3 linked regions of the Mus musculus genome follow. The protein of the gene in region 3 purifies or fractionates together with the protein of the main gene of each other region. This does not show direct contact. Links are inferred from orthologs where the notes say so. Each region holds a gene or a part of one and is shown on either strand. Other genes may lie near its edges.

Region 1 (4,438 bases), on a different chromosome or scaffold from region 3:
TGATACAACTCTCCTGCTGCCAAGATGGCCTGAGCTGCCAGGGTCAGAGGAGGGGGACAATCAGACTGGTGCTGTCTGCTGGCTCTTCCTCAGAAGCCCAAGGGCCAGGACAGCAGGTAGCTCTGTCCTCTGGGCCTACAGTGACACAGGAAGAGTCCTAAACTTCACTGTACCGTGTGGCAGCCTTGCACTTGGGAGTGTTTAGCAGAGGCGGCATCTGGTTTTTAAATGCACTTTCTGCACTGGCCCCTTCCTGCTCAGTAGGCTGAAGATGTCTTTGGGCAGGGCTCCCGTTACCTCGGCAGCAGAGGACAGTTGGGGCCAGCCCGGAGGGAGGACTGCAGCAGGACTGCTGTGGGGAGCACCTTGCTGCTCTCCTTCACTGACCAGGGGTATAAAGCTCCAGCAGGGGGAGTCCCTTGCCCAGGCCAGCCACCCCAGGCCAGATTCCAAAACTAAGACTTTCCTATCTCCCCACACGGTGCTGAGGCTCCCTGCTGAAATGCAATTAAAGCAATTGATTTTCTAGTGCTGGTATTTATTGACTACCGTGCAGAAGGGCTATCTTTCTATTCACATCAAACCTTTTGTTGCGTGTTTCTGTTTTTTAATACTTTAGGGTTCTGATTTGTGGGAACAGACCTTGTAAATAACCACTGTTCACATGTGTGGCAGAATGATAAGGGGCCCCTCCCAGGGGGTGCCCTAGAGCCAGGGAGGTGGCACAGCCAGCCCAACTCTGTGACCCAGGAAATGACCACCCAGAGGTCAGCTAGTTTGTACAAGAAATGGGCCCAACCCTTTGGGAGGGAGGCAAAACTGGCTCAGTTAGTGGCACGATGACGCATGAAGGAGATTATGTTGTGCTCTTTATTGCCAAAAATAAAAACTTTTAAAAAGACAACTACTGTTGATCAATAAATATTCCTTCTTTTCCGTGCTGGTGTGTGTTTCCCCCCATGCTGCCTGAAAACCACTACAGTAGGGCCCGGGATGCTCAACGCTTAATAAAACCCGCCATGTCTAACACCAGTGGGACCCTGGCCATCTCCCCGATGGCCTTCCAGGGGGCAGACTGTGCAGTGCATAGCCCAGAAACTACAAGGGCTCCCGAGGCCTGAAGTCCAGCCACCGTGAACCTAGTCTTCGGAGGCAGGCGAGCCGTGGCTAGTTTATGGTGAGCACGTCACTCTGGATCTCATGGCTTAACTGAGTCTGTAAATCACTCAGCTTCTTCTTTAGCCCCGACAGGGCTGAGAGGACAATGGTTTCAGGGCGCAGTGAGCCACACGACTCCACATTGTAGTAAAACCTGAGAGACGAGAGTGGGGTGAGAGCTCTCGTGAGGCAAAGCTCCGGCTTCGGGCAGACTTCCCTTCTGTCCTCTGAGACTTGATTCCATTCCTATGAGGCCCTGAGCTCAGGACAGGGTCTTCCCTTTTCCTGAGACTCCTTATGCGCAATGGTCCAGATCCACTTCACAGCTCCCCGAGGAAGCTCCAGCTACTTCTAAAGAGCACTGCTGTACAAACCCTAAGATGACTCTATGTGCATTTCTACACCAGAGACAGCAGGAAAAACCAAACACGATGCTGGCTACAGCCCTTCAGCACTTCAGGGGAGGGCTATGGTCAGTCTTGCTCTGGCCTGAGCCCAAACAGGAAGGCCAGAAACAGCAGGGGTTAATAAGGCCCCTTTCCTCACAGTGACCGGAGAGGAAGGAAGACCAACTCAAGATGTGTATGTGAGTTTGGCAGTTAGCTCTTCTATCACAGGGTGGGGGATGGGGTGGGGTGTGGTGAGCTTGGGTGTGTGACTGCCTAACAGCCTCCCACACCTCTATTTACAATTACAGTCGCAAGCAGGCCTGGGGTCTTACCTCTCTGGCTTGCCGTTGGGGTCGTAGGGAGCCTGCGACTCATCCTCATCCAGCTCGGAATACTCACTCTTGGGCCTGAGGGCAAGCACAGGTGAGGCACAGGGGCTACTTCTGCTTGTAGCAAGGCTCTCAGAGCACTACCCACCTATCGCTCACTACAGCCACTGCTGCTTCCCCTTCCCCCCAGGAACATACCATTCCTCAGGCTTGGGATACACTGTATGCCTAAGTGCGTTGTCTGGATCGTATTCAAAAGCTACCCCCGCAGTAGGGTTCCACTTGGCATGTTCCTTGCCAAAGCCCTTCTTGGCATAGGCTCGAAGTCTCAGCTCCTGCCCCTTCCTCAGCTTGACAATAAGGATGTCTGCAGGGAGAGGTGAGAGTGAGCCAGAACAAAAAGAGGCAAGTTCTCCAACTTGTGACCTGTAGTACTGCATGAAGACAATCCACATCTTGGCAAAGGGTCCAAAGATGAATGAAAGATACCAGGCAACTCAAAGGGGCACATCTGACCTCTGCATCTTCTGGCCACCCGCTTGACTGCCCCACCTCTTATCATGCTACCCCACCCCCTCACCACCCTTGCCCAACCCCCTCACCACCCTGCCCCACCCCCTCACCCCCATTCACCCCCCCGCCCCACCCCCTTACCATCCTGCTCCACATAGTCATTAGGGTCGTTATCCCGGTTCCGAGATGTCACCTGTAGGAAGCCCAAACAAGTATGCATTAGCCTCTCACCTCTCAGTCACCTCTGGCAACTGTCTCTCAGCAAATGCAGCCTATAATCCGTCAATCCGGGGAAAGGAGGCTGAGAAGAAGAAGGAGATGGCAGAGCTGTCCAAAGAACCCAGAGGCCTTTAATGGGGTCTTTGAACAACATAGGGCACATGGCACTAATACTGCTCTGTTCAGGAACTCAGGACCAGCACGTCTAGGTGGCAGTTAACGTAGATGGTCACAGGGTAGGTTAGCATCTGCCTCATAAAGACCCACTCCAATCTGTCCCACTTGGAGGCAGGCAGAGAAGGGCAAAGACACTAACCGGAATAACCCGGGGGCTGTTGGAGATGAGATCTCGGGAGGTGACATGGCGCGTCTGGTCTTCATTGCACCTCACATCGAGAGTGAACTCCACAGAACACTCAGGGCAGAACTCTTCACATGTGCAGTCCTGAGGCAGGAGGACAGCTAGGATGAGGAGACTGGACTCTCTGCTTCTCCTATCCAGCTCTTTCCAGATTCTTCTTGGTGAAAAGGGGTGACCACGGTCCCAGCCCTTCTGGGCTGTGACATCTGGTTCACCTCAGGATAACTAACTACACTTCCTTTCCATGTTCACTGCTACAGCTGACCACTAGGGGGCCCACTCCTAATATAGCAGTGCCTAGAGAGGTCATCTCAAGGGACCAAGGTTGTATGGGACTATATAGTCCTGTTTATGCAGACCAGCTTGGCAATTAACTGAAAATACAAAGAAGGGAAAAACAGGAAAACAAACAAACAAACAAACCACCCCAAAAAACCGAAACACCTTTCAAGTTTTAGATTATTTGGGGAGGGATTACCTAGCCATAGAGGATTACAGCACAGACATGCGCTCAAGTATGTAGAAGGGAAGGGTAGAGCACGTGCAACTTATTATCTAAAAGGTTAGAGGAAAATCAGGCAAATGTAGTAAAGCATTAACATCTACTAACTACAGAGGAAAAAATAAACGGTGTTTTATTAACATTTCTCAGACAGGCATGGGAACACATGCCTTTAATAACCACAGCATGCAGGAGGCAGAGCAGGCAGATTTCACTTCAAGGCCAGCCAGAACAACATAGTGAGACTCTCTTAAAAACGAAAACAAAACCGAAAAGAATAAATGGAGGCTGGAGAGATGGCTCAGCTGTTAGAAGTACCTCCTGCTCAGTTCCCAGAACCTGAATCCAGTAGCTCACAACTGCCTGTAACTAGTTCCGGGGGCTCTGATGCCCTCTTTTCACCTTAGCCCACCTGCTCAGACACAGAGGCAGACCTGTACGTACGTAAAAGTGGGTATGTTTCCCGGACTCTTTTTGTTGTTTTGAGACAGGGTTTCTCTGTACAGCCCTGGCTGTCCTGGAACTCACACAGAGCCGCCTGCCTCTGCTTTCCAAGCTCTGGGATCAAAGGCGTGCGCCACCACACCCACCCGTGTGTTCCCTTTTGAGGCTCACTGATGACGCCTGGATGTGCTGAGAGCAATCCGATGCTCCATCAGAACCAAGGACCACACTATTAAGACATCATCTCCACCATCAGCCACAACAACTGGAAGGGAGACACCCCGGAAGACTCCAGGGAGAACAATCCCCCGGCCCCTCCCCGTGGCCCCAGTCTTCCCACCAGCACACATACCCGGGAGTACTGCAGCTTGTCCACAATGTCATCACTAGTGAGGGGGATTAAACCTGCAAGACACAGAAGAGTGCTTTGCAGAACAGCCAACAGCCAAACCATCACAAGAGCCTCAAGGAGGTCACGCAGGCTGGGGACAGGGAGCGTCCCATTTGATCCGGTCCACCTCAA
Region 2 (3,645 bases), on a different chromosome or scaffold from region 3:
TCTCAGATAACTCTAGCTTGTGTTGACAATGAACAAGCCAGGACAATGTCCTTTCTTGTTATTTGAGGATAAATTCCTCAGGTTAAAGAATATACACATTTTAAAGATGAGGTAGTTTGTTTGAGGTGTGTGTGTGTGCGTGTGTGTGTGTGTGTGTGTGTGTGTGTTTGAATTTCAAGTGTCCCTTTCAAGACTGTACTCTTATGTTACCAACAACAAAGTGGTGAGCATTTTCAGATGTGAGCTGTACTCATGCACTGTTGTTTATTCTTAGACGTGCCTGTCTGTTTTTTGTTAGGCCTGTGGTTTGGTTAAGAACTTGGCCCTCATGACACATATAACAACTGACATGGAAGATGGACCCATTATTAAGTTAGCTGGGAACTTGGGAGTAGAAGATGTGAATTTATTATGTGGAGAAGAGCTCTCTTACCCAAATGTGTTTCTTGTCTTCCTGAATGGTAGGTATGCTACAAAGATGTGCTCCTCCTAAGCCAGTGTTTCTCAACCTGTGGGCCACAGCCCCTTGTGGGTGGGGGGAGTTGAATGACATTTTCACAGGGGTCACATATCAGACATCCTGTATATCAGATATTCACATTACAGTTTATAACAGTAGCAAAATTACAGTTATGAAGTAGCAGTGAAAATAATTTTATAGTTGGGAGTCCCCATAACATGAAGGTCTGTATTAAAGGGTTGCAGCATTAGGAAGGCTGACTACAGTCCAAAGCTAGGTTTTGGAAATAGAGAGACAATACATTATTATTTTTATTTGAAGCATAAAGATATTTTAATTCTGGCCCTAGATAGACCTTGATTTATTTTTATTTGTTTTTATTGAAAAATAATTTTCATGCAAAATATTCTGGTTATGGGTTCTTCTTCCTTGTTTCCTCCTAGGTCCCCCTACCTCCTTGCCTTACAATTCTGTGACTTCTTTTTCTAGCTCTGTAGAAAACAAAATAGGCAAAACAAAATGAAGCAAAAACCCAAACTAGAATAAGACAAAAACAAAGAAGGAACAGAAGAAGCAGTATGCAGGTGGGCGCACGCGCACACACACACACGTACACACACACAGACACACACATGCACACACGTACACACACACATACACCATCAAAATCCTGTAAAAGCAAAAGACTAGTATGGTAAGGAAAAAAAAAACCCAAACAAAGCATTATGAGACCAAAAAATTCTTCAAAAATACCACTGAGTTCTTTTTATCTTGGCCATCTACTGCTAAGCATGGGGCTATCCTTAAAGTGGTTAGTATACCCAGTGAGACTCCACTGATGAAAGTAATTTTTCTTTGTGGGTGGTTGTCAGTTGCAGATAGCTTCCACAGATCCAAGCCAGGTGGGGTCCCAGGGCTGAGAGGAAGTGTAGACACAAGGTCACATCCCTAACCAGGAAGCTATCTCCAGCAGCCCTTGGTTTAAAGGAGGAAAAGTGATAACAGAAACAGTTGGTCTTTTGATTGTGGTCCCCAAGGTTTCAGTAGGTTTCATTGCTGTGATGGGACAGCATGAGCATAGCAACTCTTATCAAGGAAAACATTACATTGGGGCTGGCTCACAGTTTCAGAGGTTCAGTCCATTATCATTGCAGGAAGCTTGGCAGTGTACAAGCAGACATGATGCTGTAGGAGCCAAGAGTTCTGTATCTTGATCTGAAGACAGCCAGCAGGAGACTCTGCCACACTGGCCAGACTTGAGCATATATAAAATTAAGATCTCAAAGCTCCACCTCACAGTAGCACACTTCCTCCAACACAACCACACCTCCAAATAGTGCCACTCCCCATGGGCCAGACATATTCTCACCGCCACACCAAGACTCTGAGGACACAGAACACTGCTGAGGTCCATCTGCTGCTTTCCATCTATTTGCAGCTGCTAAAATATCCATAGTAGGATAAGTTCTGTGTAGTATCTTAGTGGCTAGTTAAATATGCACTCAGTTCTGCAGAAATGATCAGATCGACTCACTTCATACTATCCAGCCTTTGAGTCAGAGCTCAGCAGCTGTGGCAAAGGAGATATTCTGCTGCTTTGGTTCACGTCTCTTTCTTCCTTCATGTGTACTCTGCTTTCTTCAAAGCCCCCAGAGGCTGGTGGCAATGTGCCCACCCTTCTTCTTTTAACTTGGTAGCCCTGTCCTGTCCGATGTGCTCTGGCCATCCCTTTCCCCCATTCAGAGAGTTCTAGCCCTTTTGTATACAGGCTGTGGTGGAAGGGTCTGCCTGAGCACGGCAGTCGGCTGCCTGCCCCCTCCGTGTTTCCCAGGGGGTTGATGGGGGCTGGCTCTTAGTCTGCATGCCACCTGCCTGTGCCAGTGTGAAGCTCCTGTCCTCATCACCATGCTGACAGTTGAGGACAGTCAGGGAGGGGAACACTTGGGGAATTCCTCAGTCAGTGCCCAGTGTGATAGCCACAGGCTTTAAGGCCCGCAGAGCGTCTTTGAGCATACTCTTGTGCTGCTTCCTAGAGCCCGTGAATAAGTTCTGGTGTTAACAACTTTTAAGTGACTATGCCCTGCTTCTCAGTGTTATTACTGGATGGATAATTTAAGGCAGATTATTTTTTGCGCCTGACTCACCTATCTCTTGTCTTTGTTAGGTAACATCCTTGGTGTCATTCGAGACCATAAAAAGCTTGTCAGCACATTCCGGCTGATGCGAAGAGCAGGCTATATCAATGAATTTGTTTCTATCTCCACAAACCTTACGGATCGCTGTGTTTATATTTCCTCTGATGGCGGGCGCTTGTGCAGGTGTGTTGCTGTAGAGACCTGGAGACTCTTTATGTGCACTTTGGAAGAAATGGCCTTGCCTCTAGTTTTAAAGCCTCTTTTTTGTCCTGAAGATAAATTTAATTCAGTTATCCTACAACTTAGAGAATAATGGGAGGTCTGAAAAACAATGGGAGATATTTTCTGTTCTCAGAGAGTTCAGACTGCCGGGAGAGGCGGAAACCATGACGAGTGGCAGCCAGCTGTTCTGGCTCGAGTGGACTCGAGTTGCTGTCTTGTTTTACTGGGTGTGTTGCATGTGTAAGACTATCATCTGAGTTATCTTCATCTTCATGAGGACCTTGGTGGTCTATGAGGCTGAGCCGAATGAGCAGAACTAGAGCACGGTAGAATTGGGCTTTTCCTGGTGGTCCTTAAATGTTACTTGGCTCCACCGATTGTGACCCACCTCTGTATTCTGCCCAGCTTTAAAGTCTTGACATCCTGACCCCTCTGCTTCCTGCAGTCATTCCTCACCCTCTTCCATAAGATTCCACGTACTCTGCATAATGTTTGGCTGTGGATCTTTGCATCTATTTCCATCAGCTGCTGGATCCGAGAGCTTACCCCTAATACTACCTAGAGGGCCAGGAACCAGAGAACCAGGATAGAATCAAACAGGATCAGCAATTAAGAAGGAGAGTGTTGGGGGTGGGGGGAGAAGCCAATGAAACCATCCCTAATGATATTCTTCTGTTATACTCATAGACAGAAGCCTAGGATACTCAGCCTTCTGGTCAATTCTTAGTGCTTCGAGTAAAGTACATTTTTGCTTAACTCAGTCAGAACTGGCTTCTCTTGTGATGTTGCTGAAAATAAGATGCCCACATTTGAGTCCTCACTGGCCAC
Region 3 (3,645 bases):
AGCAAAGCAGTCACCTGGAAGGCTTATGAGCCAGCCTGCTGCGTCCCCACCCCCGACCCCGTTTCTAGGAAAGCTGATTTGGAGGTGTATCCATAAGAACTGCCTGGCTCGTGATTTTACTACACTCCTGAGAACCAGGGCAAATCCTAGCTCTGAATGGACGGAATGGACCAAATCCTGGTCACAAACAATGCTTTGTATTGTTCTAAGTACAATATAAGGACATGATTTTGGCCATGGTTAGGTGGATAGACATGGGAAACTAACCTACTATGCATTATATCCTACCAGACATGTCTTTAAGGCTTGGTCATAACTAATAGTGGGAAATCTATTAGTGATCACATACTTTCTAATATCAAACCATGACAGGAAAGCTTACCACAAAGTTAAAGTCAAAATCTTTATCCAAGTCACCATCCTAACAGTATTCTTGAAAATGGGCTACCTCGTGTGAGCACAGATCACATCCGACCTGGCTGCCCAGGGCACTGTGCTGCCCTCTGTACACACACACTCTCCTTTCCATCCTGCTGTGCCCACAGACCCAGCTAGTCAAGGTCCAAAGCGTCTCTGGGACAGACGTCCTCTCTGTCCATCAGCAGCAGAAATACTTGAGTTCAAACGATGATACTTGAAGTTATAGGCTCAGCAGCTATCTCTCAGCTTCCAGAGCGGTGAGAATACATCCTTGCATAAATATCGGGAGGAGCTACCCAAGAATGGGCATCCACCTGCCAGCTCCGCCTTCAACCAGACTTCATCTAAGCCCAGTTTCCCTCAGAGAAGTCACCATTTGGGAGAAAACTGCTCTTGACTGCAGCCCTGGTTCACAGGAAGGATGTCCTCTGCATGGAGACTCAGCACATCAGAGCTGTACAGCAGGTGGGAGGGCCTACTTGTTCCTCTTCCAGTGTGCCATTGACTCCTCCATGAAGTTCTGAAATGCTGGCTCTTCACGGCTTTCCTCTGTAACTGCAGGAGACAAGGGTGCTGTGTTTAAAACCTTCATAGTAGACAATGAATCAGAGCTCCTGTCATACACATACACACACACACACACACAGACAGAGAGACAGAGAGAGACAGAGAGAGAAAGAGAGACATACATTTTAAAATTATTTTTCACTTTTTCAAGACTGGGACTTGCTATGAATCCCAAGCTGGCCTAGAACCCATAGTCTTCCTGCCTGTCTCTCCAACGCTGAGGTTATAGGCATGTATGCGCCTCCACACCTGGCTGAAATGACTTTTAAGGAATTACATACTTACACCCTCAGTCAATGAAATGGCTTCTAGAACATGCAGCATCAAAGTCAAAAAATCCTAATCTGAGGTCTGCTCAGGCAGGCCAGAGAAAGAAGAGTCCACTCACTCACAGCCTCAGCCTAGCACCAGCACACGTGACTGGCAAACACTCAAACACTTGGGGGCTGGAGAGGCGGCTCAGCAGTTAAGAGCACTTGTTGCTCTTGCATAGGACCTAGGTTTGTTCCCAGCACCTACATGGTGGCTCACGATATCTGTACCTCCATTTCCAGGGGATTTATGACCTCTATGGGGACCAGGCATTCACATAGTACACACAGAGACACACAGGCAAGACACTCACACACAGAAAGGAAAAAAAAACAAAACCACATCTTTAAAACCCAACATTGCTTCCTCCTGTCTATGAGCCAGTAAAACAGATTGCTGGGGGCTCAGAGACATGTTTCTCATGTTTTCCCCCGGTAGAAGCAAAGGGGGCTCAAGAAATAGCTTTGTGAAGTTCTGCAATGAGCACAGCAGTCACTTGGAAGGCTTATGAAACAGCCTGCTGGCCCCCCACCCCAGGGTGAGCGACTCAGGATGTTGCTCAGTATCAATGCTTTTAGCAGGGGGTACAGCCTTCACCACTTATCAACCAAAACACCGGTAACAGACGGAAACAGCAGCACCTGCTAACTGAGTCAAACTCAGGAGAAGTAACAAGACATGAAAGGTACGTTAGTGGACCCTGCCCACTGTGTGGGGGCCACTCGCTAGACAGAGGTCCTGTACTGTGTGGCAGAGAGACCAAGCTGAGTACACGAAGACAAGTGAGGGGCATGCATTCGTTTCCCTGCTCCTGCTGTGGATGTCACCTGGCCTCTCCACAGCATGGAAGCTGCAATAGGAGCGGAAACAATCCCTTTCTCCACTGCATTGCTTTCCATTGGGCTATTTTGCCACGGCAACAGAATGAAATTAGAACACATAGCAAGGTCAGAACTCTTCACATGGAACCCTTTGCTGGTGCTGTGTGCTCTACCATCTTCCCTTTCCCCTGTCCCTGGCCATTTGCTCAGGATCTCCTCTCAACAGTGACAATCTCCTGAGTGGATGGGGCAGCTGCTATGTCCACCGGCTGCCTCTCACCTCTGTGGTCAATGTCATCCGTGTCACTGTCAGCTTCTTCATCCTCCTCATCCAAGGTTCCTCGAGTCAGGATCAAGTCAGAAGGATCCAGCACAGGAGATGCGTTGCCTAGGGTTAAAACACTGATCAGTACACGTGTCTTCTGAGCTGGCTCTGAGCTGTTATGCTGATCAGAGGGCAGCATGAGAGTGCGCTGGACCAACAGACATGCGGGAGAGTTTGTAGTTTTTTGTTTTGTTTTTTGAGACAGTGTTTCTCTGTGTAGCCCTGGCTGTTCTGGAACTCACTCTGTAGACCAGGCTGTTCTTGAACTCAGAGATCCACCTGCCTCTGCCTCCCGAGTGCTGGGATTAAAGGCATGCACCACCACGCCCAGCTACATTAGTTCTTATGTACAAGTGTTTTGCCTTCATATATATTTATGAGCCACAAGCAAGCCCCCTGCCCATGGAAGTGAAAAGAGACTGTTGGATCCTCTGGAACTGCAGTTACAGGTGGTTGTGAGCCATCATGTAGGTGCTGGGAATTAAACCTGGGCTCTCTTCAAGAGCAGCAAGTGCACTTAGCTGCTGACCCATCTCTCCAGCCCCAGGAGTATATATTTTTTAATATAAGCACATCCTAGACACTCACAGAGGGTCAATGATAAAAATAACAGAATGAAGGAAAGAAAGAGGAGTAAGGGAGGGATGGAGGGAGGAGGAGGGAAGATAGCAGAATACAAATAACGAGAAAAAAACTAAACAAAAAACAGCACAAACCCCTACCAGTTACCAGAGTAAAACAACATGTAGTAAAGAAGATAAAATCCACTCAATAATGTAATTAGAAATATGCAAAACATACGCAAGATAACATTCCAGAAAGACTCAAGACCTGCCAAAACGAAAATTCTTCCTGCTCTTGAGGAGGAAGAAGCAAGAGCACAGAGATGTCAGCTCTTCCTGGATTAATTTAGGAGCACAAGGAAACCTCGACACAAAGCTTCCCAGGAAGCTGGGTAAGCTGGTGTGCACGTGCACGTGGTAAGCTGGTGTGCACGTGCATGTGGGCCGTGAATGCAAGAACAGCCGGAGAGGACACAGTACGGGGAGAGCAGCCTGAGCAGGCGCTGAAGCCTTTTCTAAGACGGCCACATTTGAGGAATGTGCAGGCATTTAAGGAAAGCAATCAGCAGACTACGCAGAGTCCAGAGCCAGCTAGGCAGAACTGGACAAGGGTGCTCGGTCCCACACCGGATGAGCC

Evidence for each region.
Region 1: the proteins of Gpn1 (region 3) and Polr2c purify together in Homo sapiens (affinity purification with mass spectrometry; 3 studies listed by BioGRID and IntAct, with this or other methods). This does not show direct contact. The link is inferred for Mus musculus from reciprocal best matches to the Homo sapiens genes GPN1 and POLR2C.
Region 2: the proteins of Gpn1 (region 3) and Polr3b purify together in Homo sapiens (affinity purification with mass spectrometry; 4 studies listed by BioGRID and IntAct, with this or other methods). This does not show direct contact. The link is inferred for Mus musculus from reciprocal best matches to the Homo sapiens genes GPN1 and POLR3B.

Annotation. Positions count from the first base shown.
Region 1 is NC_000074.6:94,860,326-94,864,763, reverse strand, and holds the end of Polr2c (DNA-directed RNA polymerase II subunit RPB3), read right to left. Parts: intron 4,321-4,438; coding exon 4,268-4,320; intron 3,054-4,267; coding exon 2,925-3,053; intron 2,583-2,924; coding exon 2,531-2,582; intron 2,244-2,530; coding exon 2,075-2,243; intron 1,955-2,074; coding exon 1,880-1,954; intron 1,313-1,879; coding exon 1,168-1,312; 3' UTR 522-1,167; downstream 1-521. UniProt on the Homo sapiens protein: Core component of RNA polymerase II (Pol II), a DNA-dependent RNA polymerase which synthesizes mRNA precursors and many functional non-coding RNAs using the four ribonucleoside triphosphates as substrates.
Region 2 is NC_000076.6:84,674,259-84,677,903, forward strand, and holds part of Polr3b (DNA-directed RNA polymerase III subunit RPC2), read left to right. Parts: intron 1-298; coding exon 299-461; intron 462-2,624; coding exon 2,625-2,778; intron 2,779-3,645. UniProt on the Homo sapiens protein: Catalytic core component of RNA polymerase III (Pol III), a DNA-dependent RNA polymerase which synthesizes small non-coding RNAs using the four ribonucleoside triphosphates as substrates.
Region 3 is NC_000071.6:31,508,162-31,511,806, reverse strand, and holds part of Gpn1 (GPN-loop GTPase 1), read right to left. Parts: intron 2,509-3,645; coding exon 2,401-2,508; intron 976-2,400; coding exon 896-975; 3' UTR 1-895. UniProt on the Homo sapiens protein: Small GTPase required for proper nuclear import of RNA polymerase II (RNAPII). May act at an RNAP assembly step prior to nuclear import.